Linked DNA regions of Sus scrofa. The protein of the gene in region 2 binds, or shares a complex with, the protein of the main gene of each other region. Links are inferred from orthologs where the notes say so. Each region holds a gene or a part of one and is shown on either strand. Other genes may lie near its edges.

Region 1 (3,750 bases), on a different chromosome or scaffold from region 2:
ACTTTAAAAATACTTGATATATTGAAAATATATCTATTCTTTTGAAATTTTATTCAGACATAGGGATTTTTAATATATTCCAACACTGCTCACATGCCATTGTTCTTAGTATAGGAGGGACACAGAATGCATTTGCATGAATGCTTGATTTTTTTTCCCTCTCACGTTTTATTTGCTTTCTCTATATCCACATTACTTTCACTCTTGACCAAAGCCTTAGAGAATACTCTGGAGGTTAGGGAAAGTATATGTGCTAGTTTCAAGAGAGTTGATTCCTATGTCTCTCTAAGTTACCAGCCTCTCTAGGTAGATACTTGCAAGTGCTGCGGGCAAGTGTGAGGCTTTGGAACTTGGGCATAAAGGGAGAAAACATTTCCTGTCCTTGGAGGAGAAAGTGCTAGGAATGTCATAGTTTCTGAGTCACTTTTGCCCCTGGTACCAAATTAGACCCAGCAAAGGGACACATGCACACACACATACACACAAACACACACACAAAAGAGAGCATTTTGTTATGTGGAAGATTCACAATTCCGAAATAAAATGAAGTCCTTTTATGTATAACTAAGATCAGGAGGAACACACAATTATGAATAAATTAAAGCTTTTGTATTATTTTCATAGGTCTTTATTTGAAAAATATATTTATCTTCTAGTGACCATGACACGTTAACATTTGTTTGTATATTTAGAAAAATGTGTGGCATATTGATTATTTTCATTCCTTCAATTCATTGAACACTTATGGAATTTATAGTTGTGGTAAAATATTGTACTGAATTTGGAGGAAATAAAAGGTAGAAGAGACATAACTCCTGATCTGAATGAATATTTAAGTATCCTGAAAGGATTTAAATGGAGGGTTTTTTTTTTTTTTTCCACGTATGCAGACAACATTACAGGCCTGTTCAGGAGCCTGAATGATATTATTAATGTGAAATAAAGTATTTAACCACTACTCTATAAATAACTTGAAACTAATGGTTATTATAGCATAAGTAATTAAATAACATTAGTGTTGATACCAATCAACATATTTTCAAACAAAATGACATAAAGCTTTAAAATGTGTAATAAGTGATTGTTTTCAATATTAAAAAAGTTGATATCCAGGAAATGACTAGGATAAAATAAGAAAAGTCCATGAGTTTTTATAATAATAGATGATTGACATAGAGAAATGAGTCATCTAATAAATATTTTTCTCTGCTTAACTAAAAAAAATGTAATAAAATCCTAAACAAAAGCAAACTTTATAGAGTTCATATGAAGTCTAGTTAAGTTCCAAACACATTTTCATAATAAACCTTCCATATGGTATTTCGGTTAAAGTTTGAGAAAAGTAAAATATTATGGATGAAACAAATCAGGGTTTTAAAGGCAAAATAAAAACACGATATTACCTAATAACAGCAACTTGACAGTTCTTGCATCTCGCTCAGCATCTTCCTGAAGCTTTTTCTCCAATTCTTTTGATCTCTTGGCAGACTCTTTGCTTTCTGAACTAATGCTGCTTCCCATCTTGTAGTGTTAGATACTTGTCAGTTTATTTGCTCAAACTTTTTAAAATGTACAGCACAGCTCTTGTTTGGACATAGGATGCAAGAGCAGTGCTCTGCTGAAGTACCAACAGCGCATTCCCTCACTCCCTAAGACACTGCTTTGACTAGGGAGATGCTTTCCAAGCTGTCACCTGATCACAGGGTAAAACTATTCAACCATAGAGTTGTATGGTTGGCATGTAAAGAGGAAATTCATTATGCTTTCAAATTAAATGGATACTTCTGGGACATCCTCCAACCTGCTCATCTTCCTTAAAGAATAGCATACCATACATAGTGTAGAAAGTTGTCAAAATCTGAATGAGCAGTTCAAATGGAGTGTTTCCCACTTATATCTATCTATCTATCTATCTATCATAGGCAATCCTTATTACATGATGTAAAGATATTATTAATAATCAACAAAGTTTGCATCTTATCTTCAGATATTTCAGTCTTCAAATTCTTTGTAATTACTCCAGTGTCACTATCTGAATATTTATATTCAATCAGCCAAATTTATAGTCTTGCTATGCTTAGATTATGTCTCAAAGTGTTTGACACTCTCGTAGCCTCTTTCAGTTAACTAGAAAATACCTTTTTATGAAAAAATGGAAACAAATACATGTAGTTCTTACATCTATAAACATTGTTGTATTGCCAAACATAGAATTCAACACACAGTGCTCTTAAATTATTTGCTTTAGTCTCATAGGATTAAATTGTACAAATTGAGCTTTTACGCATGTGAGAAAGTCAATCCATCAACATTAATTGAGATCCTGCTCAGGGTAGACACTGAAATGTGTTCAATTTAGGCAGTGCATTAACTCTTTGGGACCATTAAGCAACAGCTGCTATGCTATAAAGACGTCTATTGATTTAGTACCAAAGGAATAAAAAAAGCAATAGTCTTTGAAACCAGTAGGTCATTTGGTTTTTCCTGAAAAGTAAGAACCTTAAATATACCTAGATATGTCCATGCCTTTAGACCACCCCAAGAGATGTCTTGTCCTTCCTAAAGGTCTGTGAGCTTGGGGATGGAGATTCCTGTGTAATTTTTTGTTTATATTAATCAAAAAGCATTTAGTAGTCAAGTGCTGTTTTCCTTATGAACATGTGGTAAGCAGGCAAATCTCTCAGTGCACATTTTGGGAATTGTGAATGTACCTAACCAGGAAATGCTAGAATACCGTCTGTCCATCAGCATGTCAGGGCCATTCTTTTGGGATCATGGGCAGTCTGAACAGGTGGGCTTTTGCATATTCATAGAACAAGGAAATAAGTTGCCAAATTCAATACAGAGTCCTGCTTTGTTTACTTTTTCACATAAAATATTAGGCTGCCAATACATAAGCATAGTCAAATCTTTCTGAATTTCATTCTTCTAAAGCCATGTTATGATAGTATAAAGATGTGGAAAGGCAGGTATGCGAGGGTCCATGCAAACCATGCAGTGTTGCTATTACAATGCAAAGGGCCTGCTCCAAAGGAACAAAGATTTGCATTGATTGCTTTATTTATGCTTACGCATGAGGACTGAGTCCACATTAACAGTAGCACATAAGAATACAAATATTAAACTATTCTGATTTTTGTTTTTACATCAAAATTGAACACAGAGTACCCTGAATATAAAAGACGCATGTATGTCTCATAGCAATTATGAATGGATAAGATACTTTGTATAATTTGATTCAAGTAAATATACCCCATAGCTTTTTAGTGGGAACATACCCTGGCTTAGAAAGGGTACATATTTTACTGAGACTCCCTAAGTGGGTTACTGACAAAAACTGACCAACTTTTTCAGGGGTAGAATTGTATATTTTCTGCACTGTATTAAATTACAAATTTCCACTTTTCTGTTCAGCCCAGAATATGCAGTCATCAATTTCGTGAAATTATTATGTGATTTTTTTTTCATCAGTGACTAAAATTCAAGCTGCATCTATATTTAGGGGAGGGAGGCTGGGGAGAGCCATGGAGAAGAGAAAGGCTTTTTTCTCAGCCCTCTCCCCTGGGTACCTGGGACACAGCTCTGCTAATGAGTTGGGGTTGATAATACACCTATTAATCCATGTTGCTTCACTTAGGCTTTCTGGGCCTAAAAAAAATGATGAAAGTAAAATAGTAAATTCCACTAGAGTGAGGACAAAATCTTACTAGTTTAGATGTTCTCCACAGTCTTTGGTACAGTGCTAACCCT
Region 2 (3,750 bases):
CTCGGGAGCCCTGAGACCCTCTGACTCCTCCCTACTTCTGTCACTTCCCCCTCCTTCATCCCTTCTTCCATCTTCACTCCTTCAGTCCATCTTTGGGGACTGTTGAGCCACCTCTCTGTCCCTGAGACCTGCCCACCATGCCTGATAATGCCCCTGGCACTAAGCTCTACCAGAATGGCCCCAGCCCATGTGTGGCCCCAGGCCAGCTGGGCCCTAGGCCTCTGCCAGCCTTTGTCTTTAGTCAATGCTATCCATCCCTACTTGGTGACCTGGCAGAGGGCCTCCTTCCCAAAATGTTGCCTTCCTGGATACTTCCTGCATGTAGACCACCGCCACCCCTGGATGGGGGCTGTTCTTGCCATGGGAGTCCTCCTCCTTCCTCAGGCTTCATGTCCCCAGTGGCCTACACATAGATGTTTGTTGAATGAGTGAGCAAGGGAATTTCAGTTCAATGCAATAAATGCTTATTGAGCTACCGGGAGATGCCGAGCTATGTGTCTGGCATTGGGAAGGTCAAAGCTGGCAGGACCTGGCCCCTGCCCTTTCGAAGCTCATAACCTGGCAGATGGGTGAGGGTCAGTGTCTGGTGACTGGCTGAGCCAGGAAGGAGTAGGTGAGGGGCTGAGAGCAGAATAACCCGAGCCTCTGCCCTCTGAAAGCTCGTGGTGCAGTTGGGAGGAAGATAAGGCTTGCTTGCACTAAGCCAAAAGGAAGTGGCCATGGAGTCAGAGGTCCCAATGCCAGGCCAAGGCCACTGGCTGAGACAGCAGAGATTCCTCAGGGAGAGGAGAGTTGGGCCAGGCTTCCGGCCCTTTCCCAGGGTCCCAAGCATCTCCTCTCCCTGCCCACAGCCTTCCACCTCAAGTCACCTTGGCCCCTCTTGGAAGCCAATTAGGCCCCAGTTGCAGCCGTGGGGATTAATATGATTAATAACGCCCCCAATCTCCCAGGTGCTGATTCAGCCCAGAGCTTAGGGAGGGGAGGTCACTTTATAATGGCCTGGGGGGGGCGGTCAGAGCCCAGAGTCGTCTAGCCGGAGCCCTGCGTGGCCGAGCTCAGGCCTCAGCAGCATCCTTGGGTTGGAGCAGCTGCAAGGCAGCCACAAGGGGCCGCAGCCATGAATGGGACGGAGGGCCCAAACTTCTACGTGCCTTTCTCCAACAAGACGGGCGTGGTGCGCAGCCCCTTTGAGTATCCGCAGTACTACCTGGCTGAGCCATGGCAGTTCTCCATGCTGGCTGCCTACATGTTCATGCTGATTGTGCTTGGCTTCCCCATCAACTTCCTCACGCTCTACGTCACGGTCCAGCACAAGAAGCTGCGCACACCCCTCAACTACATCCTTCTCAACCTGGCAGTGGCTGACCTCTTCATGGTCTTCGGAGGCTTCACCACCACCCTCTACACCTCTCTGCATGGATACTTTGTCTTCGGACCCACAGGATGCAACTTGGAGGGATTCTTTGCCACCCTGGGCGGTATGAGCTGGGATGCCATGGGGGGGGGGGCAGGGGGAAAAGGAGCCAGGAGCATGACAGGAATCTGGGCACAGCCCCAGCCTTAGGGGTAGTGGCTGACAGGCCATTATCCAAAGCCCTCAATCAACAAACACTTCAGTGATCTGAGCCAGGCTGCCATTTGTTGAGGGTGGGACAAGTCAAGGGCCTTGCTAGGGTCACATCGTGGCAACAGCAAAGCTGAGTTTCAAGTCTCTGTAGCCCCTCAGGCCATGTTCCCTTTCTCCCCGGAGGAGCTGTGTGGGGTCAGACCCATGCCAGGCACAAGGATAGAGCTGGGCAGGAGAGACCCCTGCATGGGACTCCCCTCCTGGGCAGGACGAGGCTTCCCAGTCCTCCAGTCTAGACTTTGCCTGCACTGGGCGATGGGCTCAGACCCTACCCCAGCATCTATCAGACTTGGTCACAGCCCACCTCCAGCCTGTCATGGTTGAATGCGGAGCCATCCGTAGGGAGACTTTAGACCCGTGTGGTTATCTGTAGCTTCGGGTGGTACTTTATTTATTTGTCTTTTTAGGTCCACACCAGAGGCATGTGGAAGTTCCCAGGCTAGGGGTAAAAATGGCTGTGGGCTTACACCACAGCCAGAGCAATGCCAGATTCGAGCTATGTTGGCAACCTACACTGCAGCTCATGGCAATGCCAGATCCTTAACCCACTGAGGGAGCCAGGGATTGAACTGGCATCCTTATGGATACTAGTTGAGTTCATTACTACTGAGCCACAATGGGAACTTTTGGGCAGTACTTTTAAAGTATTTTCTTTAATGGAAAAACTGAGTGCCTCAGACCCATTAAGTAGGTGAGAAAACTGGGGTGTGGAGAGAGGAAGACTCAGCTGATGATGTGGCAGGGCAGTGACCAGAGCCCTGGTCTACTGGCTTAGCTCCAGGAATGTCCCACTGGGGACACAAAGCCTGTTAGGCAAGCAGGAGACTCGGGAGGTCGTTACTACAAAACGACCAGGATGATGGGAGAGCCTAGTGCCAGCCACAGGGATGCTCTGCCTCCCGCATATATCCAGGATGTTGCCTCATCCCCATTCCCAGGGATTGTAGCCATCACTGGGTGTTTGTCACCTTCAGTGACACACATCACCCAATCTCAGGCCAGAAGAGTGGCACATATAGGCAGGCACGCCTCTGCCAAACTGCTGCCCTGGAATTCTCACTGGTGTTCCCTCTGACTCTCAGAAATGTCCCATTGTGGTTGGCCAATGCTATGGCCACCTTCTCTCTTGAGTTTCTGGGGTTGGGGGCGGGGTGGGGGGTGTTGTTCAAGGAAGGTGCCTGAATTCCATCATTTCTTACTTCTTCTCTGAGCAAAATTGTATCCAGCTTCCTGGCTCCTAGGCAGGGGTCCCACATGCCCAGGTTGTTTCATTTCCCTGGAAGGGAGGCCTTCCAACCCCAGCTTCCATGAAACAATGCCTCTGCTGTGCCCTTCAGATGTGCAGGGCACATTGCTCTATAAAAACTCCCTTTAGAGCTCCCAGTCCAGCCATGACCCTGTGACCTGATTTTTGTGTCCCTCATGAACCCAGAGCTCTAAATTAACTTCCTAGGACTTACTCTGGACCCCTGGGCCCCTCCACTCAAGGACCTTGCCTTTCTTACCATCCTCTCTCCATGGAATAGGAGCTCTCTGTCCTTAAGCAGCTCCAGGCCTGGGGTGAGCTGACCAACAGCTGACTGCCTTACAGGTGAAATCGCCCTGTGGTCCTTGGTGGTCCTGGCCATTGAACGGTACGTGGTGGTGTGTAAGCCTATGAGCAACTTCCGCTTCGGGGAGAACCACGCCATCATGGGCCTGGCCCTCACCTGGGTCATGGCTCTGGCCTGCGCTGCGCCCCCTCTCGTCGGCTGGTCCAGGTAATGGTACTGAGAAAGGAAGGCAGGGTCCCTGGTGCTCTTCAAAGGGCCCTCCAGCCAGGCGGCATCTGGTTCTAGGCCCCGAGCTGGCAACTGTCATGGGGTTGAGGTTTAGGGTGAGGAAGAGAGGGTTAGCCCCTAATGTTGCTATGGGGCTGGTGCCACCTTCTGAGTCCCCATGTCAAGGAGATTCCAAGACGCCCCAACTGTTCACCTTGGCTGTGCCCCTAATCCTCAACTAAGCCAGGCCAGGTTCCAATCCTCTTTGGTCTAGTGCCTTCTGACCTTAGGTCTCAGCACCTGGGAAGGGCGAACATTCCTTGGGCACGTATGACACTATAGCCCCTGGGAACTGGTCCCGTC

The links. Proteins that work in one complex are often made in the same cells at the same time.
Region 1: the proteins of RHO (region 2) and GNAT3 are in contact, whole or in part, in a crystal structure (PDB 4A4M), measured with the Bos taurus proteins. The link is inferred for Sus scrofa from reciprocal best matches to the Homo sapiens genes RHO and GNAT3. Residues at the interface, in NP_001014890.1 of Bos taurus: Leu72, Arg135, Val138, Val139, Lys141, Thr229, Val230, Ala233, Thr242, Thr243, Lys245, Ala246, Glu249, Val250, Asn310, Lys311, Gln312; in NP_001103452.1 of Bos taurus: Ile344, Asn347, Leu348, Lys349, Asp350, Cys351, Gly352, Leu353, Phe354.

What each region holds. Positions count from the first base shown.
Region 1 is NC_010451.4:99,857,603-99,861,352, reverse strand, and holds the start of GNAT3 (guanine nucleotide-binding protein G(t) subunit alpha-3), read right to left. Parts: upstream 2,521-3,750; 5' UTR 1,522-2,520; coding exon 1,404-1,521; intron 1-1,403. UniProt on the Homo sapiens protein: Guanine nucleotide-binding protein (G protein) alpha subunit playing a prominent role in bitter and sweet taste transduction as well as in umami (monosodium glutamate, monopotassium glutamate, and inosine monophosphate) taste transduction.
Region 2 is NC_010455.5:68,907,461-68,911,210, forward strand, and holds the start of RHO (rhodopsin), read left to right. Parts: upstream 1-1,117; coding exon 1,118-1,478; intron 1,479-3,218; coding exon 3,219-3,387; intron 3,388-3,750. UniProt on the Homo sapiens protein: Photoreceptor required for image-forming vision at low light intensity. Required for photoreceptor cell viability after birth.